Linked DNA regions of Coturnix japonica. The protein of the gene in region 3 interacts with the protein of the main gene of each other region in a biochemical or structural test. Links are inferred from orthologs where the notes say so. Each region holds a gene or a part of one and is shown on either strand. Other genes may lie near its edges.

Evidence for each region.
Region 1: the proteins of ARF6 (region 3) and RAB11FIP3 form a complex in vitro, tested with the Homo sapiens proteins (2 studies listed by BioGRID). The link is inferred for Coturnix japonica from reciprocal best matches to the Homo sapiens genes ARF6 and RAB11FIP3.
Region 2: the proteins of ARF6 (region 3) and CYTH1 form a complex in vitro, tested with the Homo sapiens proteins (2 studies listed by BioGRID and IntAct, with this or other methods). The link is inferred for Coturnix japonica from reciprocal best matches to the Homo sapiens genes ARF6 and CYTH1.
Region 4: the proteins of ARF6 (region 3) and ARFIP2 form a complex in vitro, tested with the Homo sapiens proteins (2 studies listed by BioGRID). The link is inferred for Coturnix japonica from reciprocal best matches to the Homo sapiens genes ARF6 and ARFIP2.
Region 5: the proteins of ARF6 (region 3) and HTR2A form a complex in vitro, tested with the Homo sapiens proteins (2 studies listed by BioGRID). The link is inferred for Coturnix japonica from reciprocal best matches to the Homo sapiens genes ARF6 and HTR2A.

The regions. Positions count from the first base shown.
Region 1 is NC_029529.1:11,462,018-11,466,703, reverse strand, and holds the end of RAB11FIP3 (rab11 family-interacting protein 3), read right to left. Parts: intron 4,539-4,686; coding exon 4,383-4,538; intron 3,995-4,382; coding exon 3,854-3,994; intron 3,391-3,853; coding exon 3,277-3,390; 3' UTR 1,462-3,276; downstream 1-1,461. UniProt on the Homo sapiens protein: Downstream effector molecule for Rab11 GTPase which is involved in endocytic trafficking, cytokinesis and intracellular ciliogenesis by participating in membrane delivery. Recruited by Rab11 to endosomes where it links Rab11 to dynein motor complex.
Region 2 is NC_029533.1:4,598,050-4,604,128, forward strand, and holds the start of CYTH1 (cytohesin-1), read right to left. Parts: upstream 3,848-6,079; 5' UTR 3,717-3,847; coding exon 3,644-3,716; intron 2,174-3,643; exon of another isoform or gene 1,894-2,173; coding exon of another isoform or gene 1,869-1,893; intron 785-1,868; exon of another isoform or gene 710-784; intron 1-709. UniProt on the Homo sapiens protein: Promotes guanine-nucleotide exchange on ARF1, ARF5 and ARF6. Promotes the activation of ARF factors through replacement of GDP with GTP.
Region 3 is NC_029520.1:52,349,030-52,355,279, reverse strand, and holds ARF6 (ADP-ribosylation factor 6), read right to left. Parts: upstream 4,087-6,250; 5' UTR 3,600-4,086; coding exon 3,072-3,599; 3' UTR 828-3,071; downstream 1-827. UniProt on the Homo sapiens protein: GTP-binding protein involved in protein trafficking that regulates endocytic recycling and cytoskeleton remodeling. GTP-bound form plays an important role in the transport of multiple palmitoylated proteins form the Golgi to the plasma membrane.
Region 4 is NC_029516.1:174,021,411-174,026,925, reverse strand, and holds the end of ARFIP2 (arfaptin-2), read right to left. Parts: intron 5,483-5,515; coding exon 5,372-5,482; intron 4,573-5,371; coding exon 4,457-4,572; intron 4,264-4,456; coding exon 4,042-4,263; intron 3,721-4,041; coding exon 3,563-3,720; intron 3,473-3,562; coding exon 3,298-3,472; intron 3,003-3,297; coding exon 2,847-3,002; 3' UTR 1,605-2,846; downstream 1-1,604. Other genes in the region: FH2 domain-containing protein 1-like, read right to left, coding at 1-214, 407-468, 537-788. UniProt on the Homo sapiens protein: Plays a role in constitutive metalloproteinase (MMP) secretion from the trans Golgi network. May have important functions during vesicle biogenesis at certain cargo subdomains, which could be predominantly utilized by secreted MMPs, such as MMP7 and MMP2.
Region 5 is NC_029516.1:150,664,770-150,670,308, forward strand, and holds part of HTR2A (5-hydroxytryptamine receptor 2A), read right to left. Parts: intron 1,915-5,539; coding exon 1,714-1,914; intron 1-1,713. UniProt on the Homo sapiens protein: G-protein coupled receptor for 5-hydroxytryptamine (serotonin).

The DNA.
Region 1 (4,686 bases), on a different chromosome or scaffold from region 3:
TCCTCTCCGGCCCCATCGCCGCTGTTCCCGTCACTGGGGGCTCCTCCATCACCCTTGAAAGCCACGGGCAGAGCTGGGGATCCCCTCCCGGGCCCCAGGAGGGCAGCAAAGGGGTCTTTGACCTGCCCTCCCCCCCCTCCCCTCTCCCCCAGGGCTTCTCCCAGCGCTCGGCTTGGCTCTGTTGGCTGCTGGGGGGTGGAAGCTTAGGGGTTGGGGGGGAGGGGGGGAGTGAGGATTTTCTGTACTCGCAGCGATTTCCTGCTTGGAAAAGAGGAGAAAAGTACGAATTTCAGGCTGTGCATTTAGTGCTGGGGTTTACCGGGCGTTTGGATCCCCTGGTGCTGCATCCTGGAGCATCCATGTCCTTGTCCCAGAGCATCCTTGTCCTGCATCCAGGAGCACCCACGGGGATGGACCAACCGGTCCAACTGTCCCACACTGAGCATGTAGCAGCGAGCAGCGCTCCAGGACAATTCCTGCAGCCCTCAGTGAGCTTCGGAGCCACAGCTGCACTGCAAAGCCATAAACCCATGATGGGTAAACTTTTATTAATGACATTTAGGGTTCTCCTATGGCATGGTGGTGTGCAGGGACCCAACACTGGGGGCTGCTGATACGGCCCCATAACCAACCCCAGGGGGATTCGGGGAGCACTGGAACACAGAGATCTCTGCAGCAGAGCTGGAAAAGGTCCATAGCATTCAGCATCTCTGACGGGAGGGATCCCAGAAGGGTCTGGAGGCATTTCAGGGGCCTCACAGAGGGCTCAGGAGCACTTGAGACCTCGCAGGGCCCTTCAGAGGAAGGCTTGGAGTGCTTTCGAGCTGCTGCAGGATATTTCTTTCAGCTATTTCAAGGAGTTTCAGAAGAGTTTGGAGGAGCCTGAGAGCTGCTTGGAGCACTTTTGGGGCCACACAAAGGGAGGCTCTTGGAGCAGCCCAGGTGCTCAGTACTGCCCTGGATCTGTAGGGTTGGAACCACTCGGGGCCTTTTGGGGCTCCCCAAAGTGCTGAGCTGATTTTAAAGGATATTTTTTTTGTTTAAGAAGAGGAAATAATCCTGGCATGTTTCAGAGCTGCTCAGGCCCTTTAGGGATGCTCGGGGAGGTTTTGGAGCAGCCAGGAGCGGGATGGAGCAGTTTGCATCAATTCAGAGGGGGTTTTGGAGCCCTTTGGGGCAGCTTATGGGGGCTCAGGGGAGGCAGAGAGATGTGCACAGCTCAGCAGAGGGTTTTAGGGCATTTCCATGCCCAAGAGTAGGATTTCTATGGCAGTGGAGTGGGTGGAGGAGCTCACACAGCAACCCAGCAGGCTGCAGGTAAAGGGAACTCCATGTCCTCACCCACATCCCCATAGGGCAGCAGGACAACATAGGGGACAAGGACAGCGCTGGCTTTGGAAGTCCCTCCGCTCCCCCCATCCCACCCCACAGACCCTAAAGCCAACAGCAAGGAAAGGTCGATGACAGGAATGGTAACAGCATTTAATGGGACAAGAATCGATACATCATTTAAGACAATACTGCTTTCACCCTTGTGGGACTTTCCTTCACATACCGGCGGGGAGAGAGGAAGGTTTATTGGGAAGGACAGGTCGGTGTGGATTTGTTTTTGTTTGTTTCGTAGGGGCTTTAAAGCATGGTGAATGTGCAAGTCAGTGCTTTGTTTGCTTAAAACCTTTTTCCTGGTGCTTATTTACAGTTACAGTACCTCTGTGTGAGCAACAGGAGAAAAAAAAGACGATTGTAGGAACTGGGGATCGACGACCCCAAGTCGAGAAAGGCAGATCTCCAATATTTATATATTTATACACATATATATATATATATATATATGGTTTTGTGTTATACACAGATACATTTCTCTCTTCTTTAAAGTGTTAAAAAAATGATCGACCTTCGTTCTATAAAAATACCTACTCTACAAGATAGAAAAATTTCCCTCTCCATGTATACACTGATTTACACCCAAAGCTTCTCCATAAATGTACACCACGTGGCTCCGTCCCCAGGCTGGGTGCAGGGCTGTGTCAGATGGCCACAGTGCTGGGACACGGCGGCGGCTCCGGGCTCAGCTGCAGGCACAGCCCCTGGCTGACCCATAACACAGCGATGCGCTCGGAAGCATTTAGGGGGTGGCTGCTTCTCCCTTGTTGTTGGGCTGTATTGATGTTTCTGGAGCTTGGTTAGCAGAAATAGCTGCTCCATGGGCCCGGTGCAGCAGCAAAGGTGCCAGATCCTGGGGCAGTGTGATGAGTGGCTGCTCCCGTGGGTGCACCTCGCTGTGGTCACCATGAGCTGCCCACTGTGAGCATGGTCTGTTTCCCAGCCAGCTGGCACTGTGTTCAGAGCCCTCCTGCCCCTTGCAGCACAGGGATTGGTGATGCTGTGTGCTCAGAGCTCAGTGCAGCCACCCCTTCCCCAGCACAGCGTGAGGAGCAGGTTCTCCCTCTGGGACAACAGCCATCACTGGCAGAGCCCCGCTCCGTGCTGGGACAGCCAGGACAGCACACAGAGCTCAGCCCTCACACCACAACCTCTGCCCCAATCCCTGCAGGCAGGATGGAGGGGACGGCTCTGCCATGGGACCCCCACAGCAGCGTCCCTCCCTGGAGCCACAGACAGCGAAATAAATAAGGAGGTGGGTGACACTGCACTCACACCCTGTCCCGAGGATGGCCGCTCCCCTCTTCGTGCCACCAGCAAGTGAGAAGCTGTGCACGCCACCCGTTCCCAAGCAAAAGCAGCAGGGCAAGGATTAACTGCGCCAGCTGGATGAAGACATTTGCATTAAGTTAATTAAAAAATAATAATAATCATCATCATCATTCTACAAGTCCAGGACGTGTTTCCCTCTTTCCCAGATCTGCCCCAGTAAGTGAGTGTGTCATGGACACTTTGGCAAAGCTGGGCAGGGCAGTGGGGGGGGAAACGTTCCTGCTCCATCCCGGTCCCTGCAGTTCAGAGGAATCCCTCCTCACACCCGTGCGGGGCCGACCCAAATCCTTCCCGCAGTTGCCTGTTGCCTCCATTTCTCCTCCAGGTTCCCTTTCGCCCTTTGAAGCCAGAAGGGTTGCAAAAAATAACGGAGTCAGACAACAGAGCCTCACTGCTGGCGCTCTGCCCCGCTGCTGCGCCGGCTGATTCAGCACCGATCCGACGCGACGTTTCCTTGTGCCTTCATCAAGAGCAAAGACGTTGTGAGTCCCTCTTCCTCCTCTCAGAGCACCAAATCCACAGCCATGGCAGAGTGCGCAGCTTGCGGCTCTCGGCCGCCCTTTACTTCACTTCCAGGATGGAGGGGTTGGTCTCCATGATGGCCACGATGATCCTGTCAATGTAGTCCTGCAGGCGGAAGTTGATCTCTTCTTGCTTTTGAATTGCTTCCATGAGCTGCGAGGGAGAGAAGGGAGAAGTGGTCATTAATGTTTGGGGATGGGAAAAGGGCACCGATCCGTGTCTCCATGCCCTCAGCCAACAGCCCTGCTCACCCCCACCCCTGGACCTGAGGTTTCCAGGACAGTCCGAGCTGCTGGGCTTTAAATGCAGCTGCAGACAGGCAGACACACACACACACACACACATACATGTGACTGATGGTCCAGCCCAGGAAGAGAAGGCAAAGCAAAGCCACAAATTGGAAGGCAGCAGCTTCCCCTATTCCCATGAATTAGGGCAAGTCCCAAATGCTCTTTAAATCATTGCGTTCTGTCTCATGACAGCTTTCAGGTGAGGTTTGGGAGCGAGCTGTGCTGCAGCCATGGCCACATGGGCTCCTGTTTGCTGGGTGGGAAGGGGAAGCCCCAGGTACCCCAGGGAGACACGATTGGAAAGAAGCAGCTCACTGTGCACAAACCTCATCTCTGGAGACTGAGCTGATCTCGGCCGCCAGGGATTCAGAGAAGGAGGCTGAGAAGAGGTTCTTGGCTCCCTGGATGCTCAGGTTGATGATCTGCCCGTTCAGCTCATCGTTCTGCTCCTTCAGGCTCCTGTTATCCTGTTCACAACAACCACATGTCAGGTGCTGCGTGGTAACCCAAACACACCTGTCCAACCCCAATGGGTGGCTGGGGAAGGCAGGGGCTTGGCAAGGCACTGGGAACAGCACATGTTCTGCTGACTCTGACTGGAGAGCCTCTGGAAACATGGGGCAGGTCTAGGGGATGCAGCATACAGGGATCCTGCATGCACATAATGCACTTCAGAGGAAGGATCTGAATTTCCCTGTCCCTGCACAGGGGAGCAAGAAGCAGCAGGATGCTGCATCCATCGTCAGCTCGTGGGAGGGAGAACCCCACCAAGCAAGGAGGCAGGCAAAAGGGGAAACAGCATCTCTTATTGCAGAGCGATTGCAGAGACTCTTTCCCCTTCCCAGCCTCACCTACCTGCTTAAGCTGCTTAATCTCCTGCTCCAGCTCCGTCTCTCTTGTCCTGCTGTTGTACTCCTGCAGCCCCATGCTGCTGCTCCGGCCTCGCCGCTGCTCACATTCCAGTTTGAAGAGCTGCAAGTGCTCGAGCTGCTTCCTGAGGTCCTCAATGAGCTGCAGCAAAAGGAAGAGGACAGCTGAGTTCTGGCCCTATTTGCAGCTGGTGGGACACACTGGTGGTCTCCTGGCTGGGAGCAGCTCCCTCCTGCTGCAGTGGGATGTGCTGTGAATCCCCACATTATGCCACAACAACAGCAGTTTC
Region 2 (6,079 bases), on a different chromosome or scaffold from region 3:
CCAGCAGCACGCAAGGAATGCAATGGACACTGTGCTCCCCGGCTGGGGGGAGCCTGGCCCCCACATTCCTGCTGATATAAGCTGAGGAAGTGAGTTCTGGCCCAGCCCCTGGTGCCACTGCAGCCCCTGGCCCCTATGCTCACCGGGGCCATGGCACCACAATGGGACTTAGAGCCACCCAAGCAATGTTCATCCACAACGGGTAAACCCTGGAGAGAGCTGGCTCCAGGCCACCCTTGGTGCCTACTCTGTGCTGGAACAGGGGTGAACCAATGCACCCCAACACACATCACTGCACGGGGGGACACCTGGCTGCCCTGCTTGGCCCACAGCAGCCGGGGCTGAGCCACACGCTCCCATTGCCCCCCCTCACACTGCAGCTCATGGGTAACATTCCTGCAGCTCCCCAGCCCGTGACCTCCCGCTCTGCGGTTACGTGGCACCCGCTGCTCCTGTTCCCAAGGTCACCCCCACAGCCCCCGCCTACCCCTGCCCTACCATCACCTTCCAGCTCACATCCTACAACAAGGCCACGACCAAGGCTCCAAGATCGGTGCCCGCACCACAAAGCAGCCCACACCATCCTCCCCCCACCTGTCCCCAGGTGCCCACCGCCCCCTCCATCCCACCCTGCATTGCCCCAGGTCCACCTCAGTCTGTCACTCCTTGGCAACCCAACAGCCAGGACCCTCCATCCCCTCTCTCACACCCCAGCACCGTCTGCTCTCCGTTCCCAGCGTAGTTCCCCCCTCCTCTCCAGGGCTCACGGTGCCTCTGGGGTGGCTGCGCTCACACGAACCGAATGTCCCAGCTCAGCACTTTCCTCATTCCACTCGCCTTCTCTGCTGAGGTTCCTCCTTTAGAGAAATCCCCTCTGCAAAGGTCAGCAGCAGCCTCGGCTTGCGACACGATCCCTCTGGACTCGATGGAACACTTCCCAATATTACAGCACCAGGTTCTGAACTCTATCTATGCCAACAATGCCAGAAGCATTGCTCCGTAGGCTGCACAAACCCTCCCTAGCACTGGAATGGAGTCGGTCCCACCGGAGCACGGCCTCCCCGGTCCAGTTGTGTCCAGCACCCTGCAGGATGCAGCTTGCTGGGAGCTGCAGCGTGGGGCTGCGTGGGAGGTGAAATTCCGTGCCAGACCGCAGCCCTCCCAGGCCCACAGAGGGTGGGTGGATGGGTGGGAGGCTGCAGCAGCGACAGAGCGGTGCTGGCACACGGTGGGTGCACAGAGCCCTGGGGGAACACAGCCTCTGCCCACCCCCGGGCAGTGTGGGCAAGGGGCTCATAGGGACTCATAGCAGCCACAAAGCCCAGCCCCCCCCCAAGCCTGCCTGATGCTGTGCTGGGAGAGCACTCGTGACATGGCCCAGCCGTGTCAGCAGCAGCAGGAGGAAGAGAAACCCCAGACGCAGAGCTTTTCTCAGCGAAGGACGCAGGCGTTAACCCTTCCATAGCACCGAGTGGAGCTGCAGCAACCTCTGAGCCTGCACAAGGCTGCAAGAGGGGGCTGGAGCAGAACACCAAATCCAGCAGCCATGCCAGGCTATCATCCCATGCCAGGCTAACATCCCATGCCAGGCTATCATCCCAGGCTGCCATGCTGGGTGCAAGGATTCTCAGCACAAACCACAGAGCACCAATACTCTGAGCCATCCCCCCAACCTCTGCAGAGCAATGCAGGGGAGCTGCTGCCTCACCCCCAGGGCAGTGAGGAGCATGGCAAGGCTCCATCCTGGATTCAAGGAGCAAATACCCCGCTCACACCATGCCTTGAACAGACACAAAGCCCCTCTGCATCGCATTCAGCCCCACGTGCCTCCTTCCCACCCACTGCCCCACGCAGGCCCATCTGCTCACCGCTGCCCTGCACCCCGAGGACCATCCTGCTGGGCTGTGTCCCGCTGCCCACGTCTGCACAGTGCTGCAGAGGTGCTGCTCTTTGGGGTGCCAACAGCTGCCCCCTCCCAGAGCTTCCTGGGTGAGTCAGGGCAGCTCCAGGCCAATGAGCTCAGCGCTGTGCCAGGCGTCATCGCAGCCCGGCTGAGAACTGGCACCAGCAACACCCGGTTCCTGTGCAGCCAGAGCCCCGCGCCCCCTCCTCGGCCCCCAGGGTCACTGCCGCCCACCCATCCTTGCAGGCACTGGAGCTGGCCCGGCCCTTCCTTCCTCGGGGGCTGCCAGGATGCATGCGGCTCAGCACGTCCCAAGCTCAGGGCGGTGACACCAGGGACCCCTCTCCCACCCCATCCAGAGCCCCAACCCTGCCCTGAAGATCTGGCACTGTCCAGCCATATCCCCCCCCCCATGTGTGGGTTCAGGGCCTGTATAGGCTGTAAGGACCACCTGCTCTCATTCCCTGCAATAGGGCCGTGCCTGCAGCAGCACAGCCCTCAGCAAGGTCCTGTCCCGCTGCAGCTGCCCGGGGAGACCACAAGAGCTCCGGCACATTGACTCAGCTAAATCCTGCTCCACAGCGTGTGATGGAAAAACAGCATCCAGAGCATCTCCCAGGAAAGCTCAGGGAAGAAGGAGCTAAAAAGAGGCTCACATTGGCCTTCCAGCTGAACGCTGTGCTGCAGGGACACAGCCCTCCTGCTGCACAGCTCCATCCACAAGCAGAGCTGAACAGACCGCAGGGATGCCCCAGCCCAGGGCAGGGGCTGCTGACCACAGGGCATTGCTTGTGGGTTCCACCATGGGGCTCCTGCTGCACCCCACTGCTGGGGGGGGGGGTTGCTGAGGGGCCCCAAGAAACTTCCTGCCGCTGCCCCAGTGCACCACATCCTGTTTTCACTGTGCTGTGTGCACATCCTGGGTTGCGTCAGCCCTGTTCTTCCCCACAGACAGATGAGGTGCGTCAGGAGCACAGCATAGGGCGGCTCCAAGATAGAATCCCCCAACCCCACCCCATAGCTGAGAGCTGCCGGGGGTTCTCAGCCCCTTGGAGCAGCCCTGCCCCCAGCAAGGAACCCAGCCCACCAGTTCCAGGCTCCTGCACCCCCTAAGCACAGAGCCCATCCTGGCTGCGGGGCTGGAGTACAGCAGGGGCACACAACGGAGCCACATCCATCCTCACTGTGCTATGCCTTCCTACAGCCCCACGTCCTGCAAGAGTGCCAGGAGTGCACCCCATGTGCTCCTTGCTTACTCTCTATTCCCAGGTCTCAGCTCGGGAGCAGGAGCCTGCAGACAGACAACAGCAGCTCACAGGCACTGCCAGCCCACGGTGGCAGCTGTGACACAGCAGGCGTCAGGGTGCCCCAGCCAGGTTTTGTCTGGAGGACGTGGGCTGGAGCTGTGCTCACAGCCACGCATGCTCCTTCCTGCTCCGAGTAGGGCAGCAGTGAGGGCATCACCCGCAGCAGCGCTGGGGTAAGAGAGCAAGGAGCTGCTGGACACATCTCACTGTGCCACGTGAACCCACTGTGCTCCCATGGGCTCCCCATCCCAGCAATGTGGTGCAATACAAGCTGCACCCAGAGCCCAGGGGGGCCCAAGCCTGGCAGCGCACGGTGGAAGGAGACAGCAAGACAACTGGGACTGTGTGCTGCTGTCAGCATGAGCCATATGGAGCCAGAGCTACGGGCACCTCGTCTGCTGGGGGGGACAGGGATGGGGCACAAAGCACCTACCTGCCGTGGTGGCCACGGAGGGGCAGAGGAAGGCCTGGAAGCTGGAGGCGCAGAGCTCGCTGACCGTCCCCATGCTGCGCAGTGCCGGCTCCCCCGGGGCAGGCTGAGGGCAGGAGGGCACCGCACAGCAGCTCCCTGCAGCTGGGGCTGCCCCGGGTGTCCCCGCTCCTCCTGGAGCAGGGGAAGGCGGCTCTGGCAGCGGGAGGCTCCAGCAGCAGGAGCCCACGCGCCGGTCGCAGCCAATCCCGCTCCGTGCCGGCACCGAACGCTGCTGTGTTCCTGGGCACTCAAAGCCACTTGGAGGACGTAGAGTAGGGAAGTTCCCAACAGCACCCCTGGTATCAGGCTGCCTGCCCCCCCTCTGCCCCCCTGCATGCCCCGGCCCCTGGGTGGCTGACGGCGGGGGTATTTTTAGAGCGGTTTTATCCCACCGTATTAGAGCTTTAAGCATCAAGAGCCGCTGGTTGCGTAGCAACCTTCCCTGCATAAAAGGAAGGTGCATAAAGAAACACAACGGGCTGGAGCTGGCGTGGGGAGCCCCCAGTTGTGGGGAACAGGGGAACGCTGCTCCCCAGTATGGCCACAATGGATTCAGGCACCTGGGAATGCAGAGCGGGCAGCCTGGAGCTGGCACATCATGGCTGTGATGGAGATGATTCTCCAGGCCCTGGCAGCCGGGATGCTCCTACAGCAGGAGCTGGGGCTCTGCCCGAGCTATGGGCCTCCAGCAGGGCTGGGGGCAGCACTCAGCCCCACCGCACCCGGCCCCCAACCTGCCAGCCCCACAGGCAGCGAGGGAGCCCAAACCGGACAGACAGCTCCTTCCCTTCCTCCGAGCAGGAGTGATTCCCCAGCGTGGGGCACGTCCGTGAGTAACAGACTGCAGAGCCTGTCGGGGCATGAGGCCGTGTCCTGCAGACGGCACCTGGTACTGGGTCCTGACTGCTGCTGGGAGCCTGCTGCAATGGGCTGAGCTGGAGAACCCCCAGGGTGGGCAGATAGCATCCAGATGGGGAAGGGCTATGGGAATGGGCACAGGACCTTGGGGGCATGGCTGGGGACAGGCAAGAGTTACCCTGGTGTTGGGAGCAGCTGTGGATGGATGGGAAGGAGATGGGAACGGCTGCTCACAGGTGCTCATCACCTCCATGACTGAGTTGTGCTGCTTCCCCTTCCCTTGGAAGCAAACAGCTTCTGCCTCCTCCTCACTGCAGAGGTGAAAGGTGTGAGGAGCTGCAGGGACACAGGGCTGGGCCAGGGGGAGCCTGTGCAGGGAGGGCAGCCACGGGCACTTGAAATGGGCTGCAATAATCACAGCTGCACCAACTGTGGCTCAGTCTCTGCTTCCACATTGCAGCCCCAGCTCAGGGCACTGTGCTGTGCACCCAGAGCCATGGGTGGGCTGAAACAACAGCTCAGGGATGTGTGGCTCTGCTTGAGCCTCCATGCAATTTCTGTGTGTCAGCAGTGCTGCTCGTCACGCTCTGCTCTGCTCTACCTTGGCTAACAGCCTTTCTCACAACACTGCATGCTCTGCAGCCCCACTATCCCCACCCCCTGAGCTCAGTCTGCCCCCAGTCCCACACTACCTGGTGCTCACCCCAGCCCCACTATGCACAGAGCTTCACCCCCTCGTGTCCCCACAGCCCCCGCTGCCTGCTGCAGGGCTGCACCACCTCCAAAGCGCATCACTGACCCCATACTAAGGCACCTGCCGGGTCCTACCCAGACAGCAGGGCTGGCAATGGGCTGCCCACCCCCAGCCCACCCCGGCGCTGCCCCAGCCGCGGGCCCCCAGCACAAGCCGCTTTGCAGAGCCCGCATCAACCCCGCTTAGAGAAATCCCTTAATCCTCCAGGGCAGCGCCAGCCGTAATCCCTCGGTGCTGTGGGATTACCCTTGGGCCGGGCACAGTCCGGGACGCAGCGCTGGGACAACCGGGGCGCCCCGACGGGCCGATCCCGGACAGCCGCCCCGTGCCGGGGATGGGGTGACACGGGGGGACACAGCTGTGCCGCCAGCCGGGATTTACTCCCTACCGACACACGGTGCTGGTGGTGGGGCCGCCACCTGCACGACTCCGAATCAACGCGGTCATTGACGCTGCCCAACGCCGGGAACGAGTCGGGCCGAGCCCCGGAGAAACGCCGAGGCCGAACAGCAGCGGCCGGTCCCGGAGCAGCCCGGGGTGGTTCCGACGGGCGGCATCACGGCGGCCGAGCCCCAGTTCCGCACACCCCGCCCCGGGAGGAGCCGCCTTATCGCCGCCCGCAGCCCCGCACCACCGCCCCGCGGCCCGACGGCGGCAGCCCCGGTGCTACAGCCGCCCCGCAGCCCCCCCCCGGTGCCCCCCGTGCCCCCCCGCACTGACCGTAGCCGCCCTCCTCGTCCATGCCGCCTCCGTCGCTCCGGCCCCGCCCGCGTGACGGCGGCACC
Region 3 (6,250 bases):
CCTGCAGGGATGGGGCATCCACAGCCTCCTTGGGCAACCTGTTCCAGTGTGTTACCATGGTCCTTCCCATTGATTGCAGCCCATCATGGAATTACAGACGGGCTTTCACCGCTGTGAGACACAACAGAGAGCTCTTGATGTCAGCAGAACACACCGCTGCAGCGCCATGTTGCCCCTTTCTGTTTCCCTCATAATTCAATAGAAGGAACATACCAGGAGAGCTCAGCTGTGTAATTGCTTTATTTTCTGCTTATTAGTTCTTTACCAACACTACAGCCATATTGAGAACACAAAATTCCTGTTTACTCGTCAGGGAGATCACAGTCTACAAACTCATTCACTGATCAGACACAGTTTAACGCCATTCCAAACTCACTCCATAGATTCACATGGACACAAATGGCCGCTGTCGGGCTGGGTTCGTAACATCACTGTGTTCTGGATGCACCTCACCCTGTGGGGAGCTGCAGCTCCGTCCTATCGAGGACATTGTGAAAGTGAAAGCTCTGGAGGTGCTGGGCAGCAATGGCCATTGCTTTGTGGAGTCTCCACCACGTTCCGGTCGCTTTTATCTCCCTCCACACACCCCCCTCCCAAATAAAAACAACCCCACAACCAAACAACCGAAAGACAAAAGAAGAGAACAAATCAGTTTCCTTTCTCCTGCCCAAACAGAACGTCTAAAAGCAACAGAGCACAAACTGGTGGATGTGAGGCAATGCAAAGCCTGGCCAGGAGACGGGAATGGAGTGATGGACATTTGCATTTGGACTGAGAAGAGATTTGAAAGAGTTCAAGAACCATTGAGAGAGCTTCAAGTTTTCCAGTTTAGGCGTTTACTTTGTGCTTGGCTGTTTTATTTATGCTCCAGAAGAAAACAGAAAACCGTATTCTCGCATTTGAACCTTTATACCGCCACACTGTTGGTTAAGTTACATCAGAGGAACAAAACAAGCCTTACAGGCTGGAAAATAGAGCAGTGACACTCGGACAGCAATAAGGTGGGAAGCTCCCCCCTCCTCCACAACTGAGCCTGCAGTGGTTGGACACCAGGCTCAGCTCAGCTCAGCAGGGCTCCCAGTCAATGCTCTATCCTCCAGCACCATGAACCCACTCGGTCCCACTCACACCCCACACAGAGATATACGTTGTTTGGAACCAGATTCAAAGTTACTTTGACATGGTCCAAAGTTACTTTGACATGGTCCAAAGTTACTTCGACATGGTCCAAAACATTCAATTCCAGAAGTGAATTCAGCGTTATTTTGTATGTGTGTGTTAATCTTCCCATTCATCTTTGGTAAGAGCTCCATACACAATGGACTTTGCACACAGAGTCAACGCTGCACAACCGTAGCGTAATGCCCCAATTTCACATCAAACTTATATCCTTGAGGAAAAAAAAAAAAGCCATTTTCTTCTGGTTTTGTAGCATACATTCCTAGAATTCCCCAATCGAGTTTAACTCCTTGAGGAAATCTGAAGTTAATCCTTAAGGCTGAATCAGAACCAGCTGCTTTAGTATGTTTTGCGGCCAGCACTAACACTTGATTGAGACCTCACACTCATTACTGGCTCTGGGTGGGGTTTTTCTGCCAGCCACACCTGCAGGCTGTGGCACGGCGAATGAGCTGCTTGCCCTTTAAGAACTAATTATGGAAGTTTACATTCATAGTCGTATTCTCACTCTCTCCACCCCGCTCTCATTGGCAGTTACTCAATGGGTTTCAGACAGCCAACACGGTTCCCTTCCTACAGCACTGCAGCAACAACTCAGGGCCGACGCTGCACGGCCATGCAGGAACTCAGCCCTCAGCTCAGCCCCGCTGCACAACCGCAGCTCGAGCAGCCGGGCTCTGTCTGTTCTCTCCATGCCACACATTCAGAAATGAGAAACCCCGTGGAGATTTAGATGCCTTAAGGTGATGCCAAAAGTGAGAAATCCTTTAAGATCGAGAGGCCCGAGGATGAAGCAACGTTGCCTTCATCCCGGGGCAGGCAAGTCAGTGCTCGACTTCTGCCCCAACCCGCCAATTTGGAGTAAAACTTGTTGCAACGCTTGCAGGTTATTGCTGCGTGTTGCTGGAAGGAACCTGTCTCACATCGAACTGGAGACTGACCGAAGGAGTAAAAACTGCAGCTAAACATCATTAAACTGGCAATGCAAGACAGAAACGGAACAGTATCTACCCTGGAACTATGATTACATCATTCGTGTTTTATTCGCTATATGGTCGCCATGTAGGATGGGGAACTCATTTGCATCCCTTCTCATGCATGATGTATGGTTCAGAACTTCACAGCTGACATTTCAAAGCAGTTCTTACATTACCTAGTGAACACGATGCCTGATATGCACTTTGAACGTGTTACAATGGTATTCCTATCTGCCACCGCGGGCAGGAATTGGTCTCGTTACGAGGCTGAGATACGGAGCCAGACCAAGAGTCACTGTTCAGTTACAGATTAACAGAACTTTACAAAAAGTCCTTAATATAAAAAGACAGACTGCGGTTTGATTTGAAGCAAGAGTTTTCCGTTTACTAGATGAAGTCGACCTATCAACATATTCCGCATGAAGGCAAAAGAGTAGCAATCTACAGCAAAGTGAGAGAGGAACAAAAAATATCATCAAAAAAGTCGAACCAGAAAAGCATACACTGAGAACGGCAGCCCTCCCCCAGCCGGCCCCAGAACAACCAAACCATCTCAAGGGCTTTGAGAGAGAGAGAGAAAAATAAAGTTACTTAGCAAGTCTACAATGTGTCTTTCCCCTGTTTGCCGAGGTCTGCCATAGCATCTAGTGCTCGTGTTCGTGTCACATTCGGAGGTTAGAGCATCCTAACGCCAAGCGAGGAGAGTTAAAACAGGAATCCAGTCAGGTGTGGAGAAGGAAAGGGTGGTCATTGGAGAAAGGTGATCGTAATCCTATGGATGCTTTTGTTTTACTTTTCTGTAGAGAATCATTCTTCCGGAAAGCCGGGCGGGTCATTTATTCTTTTTTTTTTTCTTTCTTTTTTTTTTTTTTTTCTTTTCTCTTTAATTCTTTGTAGACTAAATAGTTACTCTCATTAGGATTTATAATTGGACGTTAACCATGTCAGCCCTTCGTAGAGTCCGTCCCCTGTAGTAGCACACGAGGGCTGCACGTACCAATTCCTATCCCTGATCCGGGTCAGGCCCAGTTTCTCCTGGATTTCGTGTGGTTTCATGGCATCGGGCAGGTCCTGCTTGTTGGCGAAGATGAGGATGATGGCGTCCCGCATCTCCCTGTCGTTGATGATGCGGTGCAGCTCCTGGCGGGCCTCGTCAATGCGGTCGCGATCGGCGCAGTCCACCACGAAGATCAAGCCCTGCGTGCCCGTGTAGTAGTGCCTCCAGAGGGGCCGGATCTTGTCCTGCCCCCCCACATCCCACACGTTGAACTTGACGTTTTTGTAAGTGACCGTCTCCACGTTGAAGCCCACGGTGGGGATGGTGGTGACGGACTGGCCCAGCTTCAGTTTGTACAGGATGGTGGTTTTGCCGGCCGCGTCCAGCCCCAGCATCAGGATCCGCATCTCCTTGTTGCCGAAGATCTTGGATAGCACCTTGCCCATCTCGGCGGCATCCAAGGGCCCGGCGCCTGCAGCGGGGCGGGGACGGGGGGAGGGGGAGGTGCGGGCGGCGAGAGCCCCCGGGCGGCCCGAGCGAGCGGGGCCGGGGCCGCGGCTCAGCGGGAACCGAGCATGGGGCGGCGGCCGGGGGAGCGGGACGGAGGAACGGCCGGGGGAAAGGAAAGGAAGGCCCGGCCAACGCGGGGGGGTCCGAGGGCCGCGCCGACGCCGCGCCCCGCTCGCCCGCCGGTCCCGGAGGGCGGGTCAGCCCGGATCCCGCTTCGGCTCCGCCCGGCTCCTCGGCTCCTCGGCTCACGTGCGGCGGGACGGGCCGGGACGAGGCAGATCCGGAGCGCGGCTCCGTCCCGTCGGGGCCGGCCTCGCTCGGAGCCGGTTCCGCTCCGCTCCGCGCCGCTCCCTCAGCCCGCACCGCCGGAAGGCGCCGCGCTGCCCAAATCACTTCCCCTCCGCCCGCACCGCGCATGCGCACCGCGCCCCGCCCCGCTGCACGCGCACGCGCCGCCGATGGGCGGGGGGAGCGGAGAGCTTCCCGCCGCGCGGCCTCGGGGCGGCACCGCGCATGCGCAGAGCGGGCGGAAGGAGCCCCGCCCTCCCGCGTGGGCGGAAACGTGCGAGGAGAGGAACGGCGGGACCGGAAGTAGCGGGGGGGAACCGCGGGGTGACGGGGGGAGCCGCGCATGCGCACTGCGGGCCGCGCAGCGTGACCCCAAAGAGGGTGGGGCGGCTGGGGGCGCAGTGCGCATGCGTGCGGGGCCGGGCTGCTGTGGGGAGAGGAGTCACGTGATCGCACGTCAGAGGGAACCGGGAGCGTCTTAAAGGGACACGAACAGCGCGGGAAGGGACCGGGCGGATATGGGGGGCGGTGTGCGGTTAGAGAGCTGAGATGTGGGAGCTGTGCTGGCTGTTAGGCCCAGTCAGGCCCTCAGCCCCGTGCCCGGTGCTGGCTGTCGCTATGGAGCTGGGCGGCTGCTCTGTGTCATTGCCCAGCTCCACACGTGGCTGCTCTGAACTAACATGGCTGCACACAGCCCGCACTGTGTCCATGGGCAGCACCGCAGCTCGGAGCTGCTGCTGGCCGTGCCGTGCTAAGGCCTTTGGGACGGAGCGCTGCGGGTGTAATGGGAGCTCACCATGAGCACCCACAGCCCACAGCCCCACCTGGAGCAGTGCTGGCACCTCACACACCCTCAATAAAGCTCCACTTCTCGTGCTGCTGGTTGATCCTCAAGGTCAAACACCCACATAAAGCCCTCGCGATACCTGAGCGTGTTCTAGGTGACCCCAAGTCCTGCCCTGCTCACAGGGCTTGGCCTTCACCGACCTGCTAAAGAATTCAAGGCTTGCCCAGGTCCTTGGGAGGGCCCGACCTGTTCATGTTGAAGGCAAACATTGCAGGAGGCAGCACCCGCTGTGTCCCTGCAGGACGTCCTGCTGAGCTGCCAGCGTGGGACTCCAGCCTTGAGAGCATAAAGTAATTAGAGCTATAAAGTGATTAGAGGCTCAGGAGATCTGCAGATGGCTGCAGGGCCTGCTGCTGGCTGGGCCTGGCCGCAGAGCTGCCTGCTCCTTATGGCTTCCCTCACCAGCTGCACAGCTACCAGCGTGTGATGCTGTGTCTGTCATGGTGTGTCAGCCTGTGTTTGCTTGTTCTGTCCTCCAGCCACGGTGCAAGTGCTGTCACAAGAATGTGGTGGAAGACAATGATAACTTCAGCTTTGTGTCATAACCAATAAGCAAACTTCAAGGAGATGGATGGGTCAATACAAAGAAGGGATACCCTTTCTTTTTATCACTCAAATATCGTTTACCCTCCCAATCAATGTGGGTTGTCAGGACAGCCCTATTTTAATATGCTGCTGCTTATCTTGCTTACTATTTTTTGGCACAGTGAGAAGGGAAAAAGAGGAAGTTTTTCCCCCAGAGGGTGGTGACGCACTGGAACAGGTTGCCCAAGGAGGCTGTGGATGCCCCATCCCTGCAGGCATTCAAGGCCAGGCTGGATGTGGCTCTGGGCAGCCTGGGCTGCTGGTTGGTGACCCTGCACACAGCAGGGGGTTGGAGCTGGATGAGCACTGTGGGCCTTTGCAACCCAGGCCATTCTGGGATTCTATGATCCTTCATAGAACCTTCATAGAACTATGCATTCATACTTTGCCCTTAGTGTCTGTGTTAGCAAAGCTCTGCTGTGAAAACAAGTAACATCCTTGTTATCACAGCTTTATGGCAGTTTTCTTATCACCAGGAGATCTGATACAGTGGGGCGAGTGCCATGTCCAAGGGGGGACAATTCAGAGTAGTGCTTTCCATGGGCAGCTGCAGTCAGAGAGTGACGGAGGTGGCCCCAGGGCATCTCAGCCGTATTTCCTGCCATTCTGCAACATCTGTGTTTGTGCAGCCGCAGCGGGGCTTGGCCAGGAAGCTGAAGCTTCAGCTCGAGATGCAAACGTTATCAGTAGTGCAGCATTAAACAGATCCTCAGCTTCTTCCTGTGAGGTTTTATGTAACAGCGCGAGGGCAGGACTCAGGGTGGGAGTTGAGTGCTGTGGTTGCAGCAGATCTGTGAGCCCTGGTGTGTGCTGGGATGGTGTAGTGAGGACCATGGAGAATTGCTGGCAGTCCTGCATTCCTCACTG
Region 4 (5,515 bases), on a different chromosome or scaffold from region 3:
CAGATGCTGGGGGCAGCCGGAGAAAGCGCGGAGCCGGGAAACCTGCGGGCGGGGACGGGGAAGCGGGAGGTCAGAGGGGGCGGCCGGGGGCTCCCCCAGCCCCAGACTCACCTCCATGGCGCCGGGCAGCAGCCGGGTCAGCTCCAGCAGCAGCTCCGCGCTGTACGGCGCCCCGACGCCCTCCTCGATGTCCCGCACGATCTGCCGCACCGGGCTGAGACGGCGCGTCAGCGCTTCGCGAGGGGCACGGAGCCTCAATCCCCCTCCTCCCACCCCCCCACGAACAGCGATGGGACCCCCGAGGAGCACGGACATTCTCGAAAGGTTCGAGCCCCCCGCCGCGCCCCCGTTCCGTTACGGTCCCGTTCTGTGCCCCCGGACCCTCGGTGCCCCCAGCCCCGCTCACCGCTTGAGCTGCTTCAGGAGGACGCCGAGGGCGATGCTCCGCTTGGGCTCCAGCAGCGCTGCCTGCGGGTGCGGCGCGGTCAGAGCGCGGGGCGCGGTAACGGGGACGCGGGGTCCCGGCCGCATCTCACCGCGGGCGGCGGGCGCTGCCCCGGGGACGCTCCGCGGGGCTCCCGGAACAGCAGCCGCAGACGGGGCAGGTCCAGGGCCGGCGGGGGGGCTCTCGTCGCCCACACCGAGCGGCGGCCCCGCACCCGCGCCGCGGACAGCGGCTCCCAGTGCAGCGCCCGCAGCCGCTCGCCCCGCGCGGCCGCTGGGGGGGAGGGCAGCGCCGGGGGCGGCGGCGGCGGCGGCGGAGGAGCGGGGCTGCGCTGCGAGTCCATGGCCGGGGCGGGGGGTGGGGGGTGAGCGCGGCCGCCCGGCTCCTCTTACGGCCCCGAACGGCCCCGCCCCGCCTCGGCTCCGCCCCGGGAGGATCCGCCGCTCCCCCGAGTACCGGCCCCGGTCCCAGCCCGGCGGAGCGGGGCGGCTCAGCGGCCTCGACACGAGCTCGTTCCTGGGCCCCTCCGCCCGTTCTCACCTCGCGCCGGGCAGCGACGGACCGGGACAAAACACCGACCCGGCACCGCTCCCGCCGCCCGCACCCGACGGTACCTGGACGCCCCGCGCCCTCCCCCGGTCACAGCCCCCCCGGCTCCCCCCGTCCTGCTCCGAGATCCGTTCTCCCCTCTGTGCTCCTCCCATCCAGCCTCGGGCTCCGCCGCGCTACGAAGCTCCCGCTGATGGCGTTAAACCCGGTGTCAGACCGACCCAGGGCGCTCTCGGCTCGATGCTGGAGATGGTAACACAATTCGTTCCCCTCTTCTGGTCCCCCTCATCCCCGGTGCTTACAGGGCTCCATCGGCCACACGGCACCCACAGCCAAAGCAGCACCCTGGGGTGGGCAGGGGAATAGGGCGAGCCCTGATGCTGGGCCCCACACGGAACCAGACCCACAGAGGGAGAAGTGGGACAAGAACTGCAGCAGCAGAACCAGCTCTGGGCCTCGGGGAGCCATTGGCATGCAGGGAATCCCCGTCTCAGGTCTGTCTGTGCCGTGCACAGAGGGATCCACACCACAAGATTCTGATCCACACTATTTTATTCTGATCTGTACTGCTTTATTCTGATCCATACTGTTTTATTCTGGAGTCTTACAGCCTTCACCAGGAAAGGGGGGGGGGGAGGTTGTCAGATCCAGACATTAAATTACCAGGAATTAAATTAGCAAGAAAAACAAACCGTCTTGTCTCGGGAGAAAGTGCCCAAGTGCTGCACGTGGCCGGGGCTCGAAGCAACACTCAGCTGGAGCAGGATGAGCTTGTCCCCACGCTGGGATACCGGGCAGGGCCCCAGCGCTGCCACACGCGGAGACGCAGCCGCAGCCGCAGCGCACACGGACACGCACATGCACCGTCCCTGGGATGCAGCCACCCTTTGGTCCTTGGTTTGAGTCCCCACCACCCCTCGAGGTGCCTGTGGGTGCTCAGGGAGTGGGGCTGCCCACCTGCCTCCAGGGTTGGGAGCACAGCGCCCTGGGGAAAGCAGCCCTCAGCCCAAGGGCCGCGGCCAAACCCTCCTGCGTCCACCCGTGGGAGCTGGCAAAGCCCCGGCCAGGGGATGGGAGCTGCGGCCTGGGAGACAGCCAGGCACAACCACCCCATCGCCAAAGGGAGTGTAGTGTGGGGATGGGGGCACCAGCCAGGCTGGGGGAGTGCGAGAGCAGCTGCCTGGGAGCACCAGGGATCAGCCAGAGGGGACGGGGCAGGTCTGGGGCAAGGAGCAGACAGGAGCCCCGGGCACCAGCTGCACCAGGGCTGGGACCTCATCCACCCCTCTCAGGGTCCAGGAGGGGACCCAGCAGCCCCAGGGCCACCCCTGTGCAGCTTTGTCTTCATTTCAAAATATACATTTTTTTTGCCAGAGGTGGTGGCACGTCCTGCCCAGCCCTGCGAAGCCTGGCTCAGGGAAAGCAGCTGGGACACGTGGAACTACGTACCCTGCTGCACCATGGGGAGACAGTGGGGGGCTGTGGCACATCCCACCCTGTCCCACAAAGGTGCCTGGTGGGGTCTGAGCAGCCCAGCCTGAGGAGGGGAGTGTCTGGCCCTACGGGGTCCTGGGAAGGCATCCACCATCCCACCAAGGGGTCAGCGCTGGGGAGGGAGAACAGGGCTGGGCAGGATGGGACTCCAACGGGCTGGGGGAGTGACCCACTCAGAGCTCCACCTGCCCCTAACCGGGTCCCTGCCCCATTAGTGCCCCCCGCAGCAGCAGGGCCGAGGCTGCATCCCCAGCTCACCACTCGTGATTGTGGTCTGGCCCTACACCAGCAGTCAGAGGTCCCAGTTATGGTCCATGGCTTCCCCGGCTGGGGCACAAGGTGGGGCAGGCTGGGGGGCTCACTGCTCCTCCAGCCAGGAGGGCTTCTCAGCACCAGGGGTCTTCAGCTTGATGTTGAACTGCTTGAGAGTCTGCTCCAACTGCTGCTGGTTCCCAGCGAAGTAGGCAGAAATGGCGTTGTGAAAGAGCAGGAGCTGCTTGTGCATCACCTTGATCTGGGGAGAGCAGGAGTCAACACGCAGCCACCCAGCCCCACTGCCCAGCACCTCGGGACGGCAGGAATGGGCCAGGACAAGGTCTGCCCAGCACAGAGCTGCAGCAGCCAGCTGGGAGGTGACCACCCACTGCGGGTGGAAGGCAGGAGCGTGGCAGCTCACCTGCTCTTCCCCTCACAGCTCCCCAAAAACGCACCTTGAGCACAGAGCAGCAAGGCAGCGCAGCCTGCAAGGCAGGGCCAAGGGACACGCGTGCACGACAGGGCCCCATCCTGTGCCCCGCAGCCTTCCCCACCTTGTTCTCTTCCAAGAACTTGAGCTTGATGGCCACATCGGCTCGCAGCTTTTCATACTTGTCCTTGTGGCTCTGGAACTGGCTCTGCGCTGCATCCAGCCGGCACAGGGTGCTGGCATCCCGGGGGCCCATGCTCAGCTCCTCCAGGTCTGTGCGATACGCATCATACTCCAGCCTGCGCAGGGACAGCAAAAGTCAAGAGCTGCAGAGCAGTCCCTCCTTCCAATAGCTGCAGCCAGACCTGCGGGCCACACTGCCGTCCTACCTGGCTGTCTCGTACTGCTTAACTGTCATGAGCGTGTCCTCCATGGTCTTATTTACCAGCGTGTTGATACTGGATACAAAGAAGTTAACAGCTCCCAGTAGTGTTTCACCATTCTTGCAAAGCAGTTTCTGTGTTTCTGCGTTGTAACCAAACTCCTCCTGCAGTAGGGAGGGAGGTGGGTGAGGGGCTGCGGCAGCACATCCCGTTGTGTCTCTGCCCTCCTCCAACTGCCCAGACCCAGCCTTGCTCCAGCTGTGCCCAGGAAAAGCCAGCAGCAAAAGCCCCACACCTCTCCCCAGCCCCACAGCAATCACACAGTGCACCTGCCCTCAGCCTCCTCCCGCTTTCCCTCACGTGCCCAGCGGTGCTGACCAGCAGAGCGTTGCCCAGGCCGTGCTGCAGAGACCCCAGGGTCACTGTGGGTCTCCTCCCCAGGCAGAGCAGAGACAAGGCACAACCCACAGCCCCACCAGGAATACCTGCAGCTCAGGAGATTTCTGGCTGAGGTCCGCAAAGGCATCCCCCAGGGCATGCTGTGTCTGCACCAGGCTGTAGAAGTGGTTGGTGAGAGCCCGTGCAAGCTGCAGCACACACTCGTACTTGCGCTTTGTCTCCCGGAGCAGTTCAATCTGTGTCTCCAGCTCCAGGTCCACCGTGCGGGAGCCCCGGCCAAACCTCTCTGAGATCAGCTGTTTGGTGCACTGCGGGCAGAGCAGAGGGAAGGGGTGTCAGGGCCTGGTCCCTTCCCATCCCTGTAGGGCTGCTGCACTGGTGCCGAGATGTGCTCCCCATCCATCACTGCTCCTTTGTCCCCTGCCCAAGTTCTCTGCCCTGCTGCACAGCCAGAGATGTGACATACCTTGTATGTATTGATCAGCCAGGGATGCGACGTACCTTGTATGTGTTGATGCCCCATTTCTTGACAATGTCAAACTTCTCCACAGCGATGCCGCGAACAACCTCCTCCCCTCCGACCGGTGGGCTGGGATGAGGCTGGTGAAGCCCAGAGCCTGGAACACAGCACAGCAGTGAGGCTCAGCACAGGGCTTGGATGCAGGCCAGGCTGCCCACCCCACACTGCAGTGCTCTCAGGGCTGCTGCTCCCAGGGCCACACTGCGGCCTGATGAAGTGCAAGCAGAGCAGACTCCTGGTGCAGGCAGATCCACCCTGGGCAGCCCCATGAGATGCAGGCAGGCAGCGGCTCCCCCCTGCCAGTCAGGCACTGCTACCAGGCTCAACAGAGCCCTCAGTGTCCTGTGATTTGTCACCTGCCTGCAAGCAGCAGGACTTGGCCTCTTGCAGCACAGAATCTGGCCCCCAAAACCCTACTAGACATTGATAACCAAGGCCCTGGTGCTCACTGCATTGGCTGCTGCCCACATGGGAGATGCTGTTCCCCCTTTCACTTGCAGAGCTGCTGGCAGGGACAGCCCTGCACACCAATGGCCCTGGTGCTCCTGTGCTAGGCAATACTCCTTGTGCTCCGGGGCATGGTAGAGGTGGAGGAGAGGCCAGGCAGACACACAGTGCATCCCACAGCCAGGCACAGCTCGGCCTCATTGCCTGGTGCACTGTGGTTTGGAAGTGCCACGTGTGCCCCCAGCACAAGAACCGTGAGTAGACTCTGCTGCTGGGGGAGGCATGGGTTGGGTCTGGGTTGCTTTGGGTTGCTCCCCACCACAGCAGGGCAAGAAACTGACCCTGAGAAACACTGCACACAACGGGAGCCTTAAGCCCGGGCCCTAAGCCTGAGACAGGAGGACTCAAAGGCTGTGTCGCACCATGGGGCGCTGGGGTGGCTGCAGTACCTGCTGAAGCACCAGCCTGGCTGGCCATCCTGCTGGCGGCAGATGCACTGGGGGAGATGGATGGTCCTCGGGGTGAGTGAGGTTGGACAAGACAGCCTGGAAATGGAGGGGCTGGCAGGAGGTGAGCAGAGGGAAGAGGTGGGG
Region 5 (5,539 bases), on a different chromosome or scaffold from region 3:
TTTTTTTGATTTCATTTGTATCTATTTAACCTCCGTGTTCTATTGATGATGATCTATGTGTGAATGAAACAGAGCTCATCCTATCAGCCCATCTTTCAAACATCCACCACTGCCTTGCATATGTCCTTATCCATCTGCAGAAAAGTGGATACCATCTTCACTCATGCCACACTGTGTGCCTTTCAGTAAAGCAAGGAGTTACATCTTTCAGATTAAATAGGGTCTATGTTTGATTACTTGCCACAGTGATAACAAGAAAAATCTGTGGCTCAAGATATCAAAGAGCAAACCGCTCCTGCTGTAGGACATAAACCATATCCTAACCAAAAGGGCTTAAGTAATAGATTTTTTTCTAAATTCATTTAAATAGTGATCTTATTCAGAAGCTCTGCTAGCAAGTCACTGTCTACAGAAAACTGCTGAGGTGCACAGACCCTTGATTTGCTCCTTCTGATCTTTCTGTGACTTTGTTAGTGCAGGCACCACACACTAATACCAACAAATGCAGTACAGACAAACTTAATGAATGCTTCACTTTTTTATGTTGTGCAGAGAATGCTTACACTTAGCAATGCCTGAGACTGGGAAAGAAAGAACAGAGATGATGATGTGTTTTCTACTGGATCAATAAGCAGAGGGACTATGGTGTACAGAGGGTATCATTCTATGATTCTATGGCTATAGAAACATAATGTATGATTCATGTCATCTAAAGGGAGACATCTGCAGCAGAATTAGTTGGCCTAGGCTTTTTGTGTAGTTTACAGAGAGCTAGGTGTTCTTAGGGTGGTGTTCATATGTCATGTGCAAGACATCTACATCTGGTCAGATGGACATGCTATGAGCCCCATGTGATGCTGTTGGACCTCACTAGGTCTGGGTTACATTGGAGAGTGCACAACTGCCCTGCTATTGAGAGAGAGCTACCACTATCACTTGATGTTCTGCAGAAGATTCAGATATTCTAACCCAGAAATATGCTGGAGTGCACACTGGGCTGAGAGAGGGATGCCAGGAACCTCAAGGACCATCAAGATCCAACCCCCACCAATGGAGGCAGGGCCACTGACTTCCATTTCTAATGCTAGATCAGGCTTCCCATCCAACCTGTCCTTGAACACCTCCAGGGACAGGGCATCCACAGCCTCTCTGGGCAGCCTGTTCAAGCACCTCACCACTCTCCTGTATAAAGAACTTCCCCCTGACATCCAACCTAAATCTTCCCTCCTTCAACGTAAAACCATTTCCCCTTGTCCTGCCATTGTCTACACTTGTAAAGAGTTGACTCCCTTTCCGTTAGTAGTCTCCTTTTAGGTACTGGAAGGCTGCAGTGAGATCAGTGAGTGAATAAGTTTGCTGTCAATGCACTTACAGGGAAATCTTTTCAGTCAATATCATTTTTTTGTTTTCAGATGTTATGGCAATGGTGGATAATCAGTGTGGGAAATAAAAACATTTTTAAGACAAAACTGAACCTAACAGTCTTATTGCAGATGTTTATTCCTTCTATAACTGTGTTGCTCAGCTTCAACTCCATTTCATGTTGTCATTACTGATTGTATATTGCTTAATTACTATGTTACAGCACTTCTGTGGCTGTGGCAAGAAAAGCATTGCAGTCAGAGAACACAGTTTTAGACTGAGATGTGTATCTGTCTTAGCATCTCAAAAGCTAGAAATCAGCAATTACATACTGCAATATTGCTCACTTACCAACTGATATGGTCCAAACAGCAATTATTTTGGCAAAAGCCTTTGTTCTTGAGTTAAACCGGCTGTGGTAGATGGGGTTTCGAATGGCAATGTAACGATCCAATGAGATGGCACAGAGGTGCATGATGGAGGCAGTGGAGAAAAGCACGTCCAAGTAGATCCAAATGGCACAGAGCTTCCTAGGCAGAGGCCATGTGTATCCTGCACAAAAGAAAGTTGACATCAGCTATAATGTGATGTAGTCACATCTTTTGTTGTGAAGCATTTTTCTGACTGCACATGTACTCCTAGGACAAGCTGGCAGTAAGGAAGCTGTCTGACAATTTCTCTATTTCTCCTAATGTTTGATATTGTAATCAAGAATTATTGGCAGCAAATCTATGGAAGGAGAAAGAATTTTGTCACTGCAAGTGTGGAATTTCTCAGTTTTCCATTAGAATTTTTCATTAGTGTGATTACTGTGTTATTAATGCCTGTTGATCTACAAAGTCTTCTCAGTTCTGAAACTGAAACTTCAGATTTGGTGGCAGCTGGAGAAGGAAATATGCTTAGTTACATATCATTAATGTCTGTGACACCTACCTTTAAGTAACTTATTTCCACATATTTAGATAAGAAGGATATTCTAATATCATCAGTGAATATTGTTAGGCTACTCCAGAGACAGCGATCCAAAGCTAGAGTTTATCAGTATCAATCCTACATGTTCTTTGCTGCAAACTAAGCCTTTCTTTTTCCTTATTCTTTCCACTGGTAATGAAGAATAATTGATTACTGTCCTTACTGAAAGCTATTGGAAGATGGCTATCACGTCTTGTCTATCTTTTTCTATTCCAGACTAAGCAAAGCCAGTTAGTTCCTTTATCTTCTGCTTGCAGATGATGTTTACAGAACTTTTATGCCTCTTGTTTCTCTGCCCCAGAATCTTTTTAATTTATCTTGCTAAGACTGCAGGGACCAATGCTGGATGCTGTTCTTCATGCTGCTGAGAAGGCCTCCCAACTGTTTCATGGGTCTTGCAGGGAATGCTCTTACTTATCTAACCTGGAATGATGAGTGCCTTTTGTATAAAAGCATCATACTTATGATGCATACTTAGCTTATGATTCATTTTGACAGTCAGATATGTTTCAACATTCTGAAGCCTGGACTAATTTCCCCAGCAGGTGTTGGTTTGATATCTCTTTCTAAGTGGATAACTTTGCATTTATCCTCTCTAAATTTTATTTGTTCATTTTAGACTTTCTCTTTTTGGATTGATGATTCTGATCCTGTTCCTCTGAGTGCTTGTTGCCTCTCCTACCTTGGGCTTTTAGAAAATCGTACAAGCTCATAGTCTATCCAAGTTGCTAAGCAGGCACAAGTTAAGCAAGACCATCATTCTAAGGTCCTTTCTAGTCCTAAGGAACCACCAGTAGGTCTTCTTGGGGCATGTTTTGCAGTTAACCTTCCCTTGTCTGTTGGTGATTTAATTTAGCATATTACCCAAGCTGCCCAAGAGTGTGTTGCATAGGACAATGGTAAAGCTGATATTGTGTGAAGATATAATTTTTTCAGGCAGTGCCTGGCTCATTTGGAAACACATTACAACCAAGTTTGCAACAGAAGGATTAGAGGCAGAGGAGTTACGTCTGTGCCTAATTACATTTACTCTCTCTAAGCACCGTGGAGTCCTATTTCCTGGTGCTCTTGGTTGGCTGTAATGTGACTGATTCTAATAAGCCATACGGTATTTATGGACAAGTTTTATCTTTTTCCTGGTCTTTCAAAGAGGAAGCCAGTCTCTGGAGAGCATTAAGTGAGGGCTGGATTTCAGAAGCATGTCTTCCTAGCAGCCTCTCTGTGAAGCCAGGATAGTTTGCACAGGGAAAAGGCATAAACTACTTTTGCACTCAACAACGTGCACCTGTTCTCTTTCTGAACAGATTTGTCACACCTTCCAGACTTCTTGTCCTTGCTCTAAACCTGGATGGTGTAGGGGCAGGCAGCTTTCTATAGATAAACCTTGCCAGAAGAGGCAAGTGATGCTTGTGCATCTGTGCATTGTCAGGTTGAGAGGCTGAGAGGAAGGGCAAATAACACCTGGAATGAGAAAAGATTTTTCTCCTGTTGTACCTGGATAGTATCAAGAAAATAAATGTTTTATCCCAAGGCCTTTCAGGAGAGGAGGTGGAGAAGTGAAGCTGGCCAAGATTGGTAACCAGGGATATGGGAAAACTGAGTGAAGAAGGACTATGGAAAGAGTCTGTAGGCAGGCATGATTGCTGAGAAGGACTTGTGTACTGTCCTACCTTGTCAGAAGCACCTCAGCTGAGGCCTCAGAGTTAGCTCTGAGCTCATCAGGAGCCCTTTGAAGCACCTGGTCTTTCTGCTTCAGCAGGTAAGAAGCATCTGCCAATAAACCCAACAGCATCTCCATACTGCCATGGGGCAAATCTCCAAGAGATGTTCCGAAACAAGTTTGAGTGGGAAAAAGTGCTGCTCAACTCCATGTTTTCTGCTCTGTGGGCATATTCACCTTTCCTGGATAATGTGAAAGTGTTGCAGAATATCTTTTCAGTGGGAGGCTGGAGCTGTTGTGTAGATGGAAAAGTCTGCCTGGCCTCTGTTAGGCAGGACATTTGACCAAGGAACCCCAATGGGAATTGCACACAATAATGATAAGGTTTAGGGAAATAAATCATCTTTGTTTTGAGCAAATTTGTCAGAATCTCCCTGCAAGGGGCTGCAGAGCAAGTGGTGGAGCACCCTCATTGTTACAAAGATCCCTTATTCTGACTAGGGATTACTGCTATGGATGGCATAGAACCATAGAATCATTTGGACTTGAAGAGATCTTTAGGGTCATCCAGTCCAACTATGAGCTACATTCCATCACTAAACCATATCCCTTAGTGCCACATCCACACATCTCTTAAATACATCCAGGAATGGGGACTCCACCACATCCCTGGGCAGCCCATTGCAATGCTCAACCAACATACTCCATGAAGAAATTCTTCCTAGTATCCATTCTAACCCCCCTGGCATGCCTTGAAGCCATTCTCTTCCATTCTGTCACCATGTGATACTGCCTCTCTGATGCTGCTTGTGGGCTGCCTTCCTGCTTTGCCCACATCCTGGAGGTTTGCAGGACTGCCTGAAGGAATGCCAGTCCTCATCTCCCAGATATTTCCCATCCATTGGGGCTTCGGGCCCTTTGGGGTTTCCTTGGCAGCAGAACCTGGCCAGCAGGAGTCCCTGTTGCTTGTCTCAGGGAGGCAGGCAGTGTCAGGAAGGGTTTATGTTCACCTTATGCAATGGATGGTTTCTGCAGCTTTACACTGCCTTTCCAGATGCTGGAGTGATTGCACAATTAGTGCAGTGAATCACAGCCTTATACGCTAACCGATGTCAGCACCATGTAGAAATGTGGAAACTGGGAAATAAACTTCCAGTGTGCTGGATGAAACCTCTCGTAAGTTACAGCCTTGCACTCAGACAGCTCTACTCCTGAAACCATGCAGCTATAGAAACCTTTGCAAACAACCTCACTTTTCTCCTGGCACTGTCTGGCTTCTATTTCGACTATAGCCACTTGCTACTGGAAAACTCATTTCTCAAAGTTGAGGGATGATAACAGCCAGACAATATTGACACTGAACACACAGGCTGCTGCTTTTTCCTACGCGAGCTGTGCTGCAAATGATTTCAGTACAAACGAGAAGAAAGGTCTGCTATATTAATCACCTACAAGGGGCTGAACTGTGAGTCATAATCCATGTAATTCTTAAATATCTTATGGTATTGTAGCTGATATTTAGCTTTGCTTCTGTAAATGTTAGTA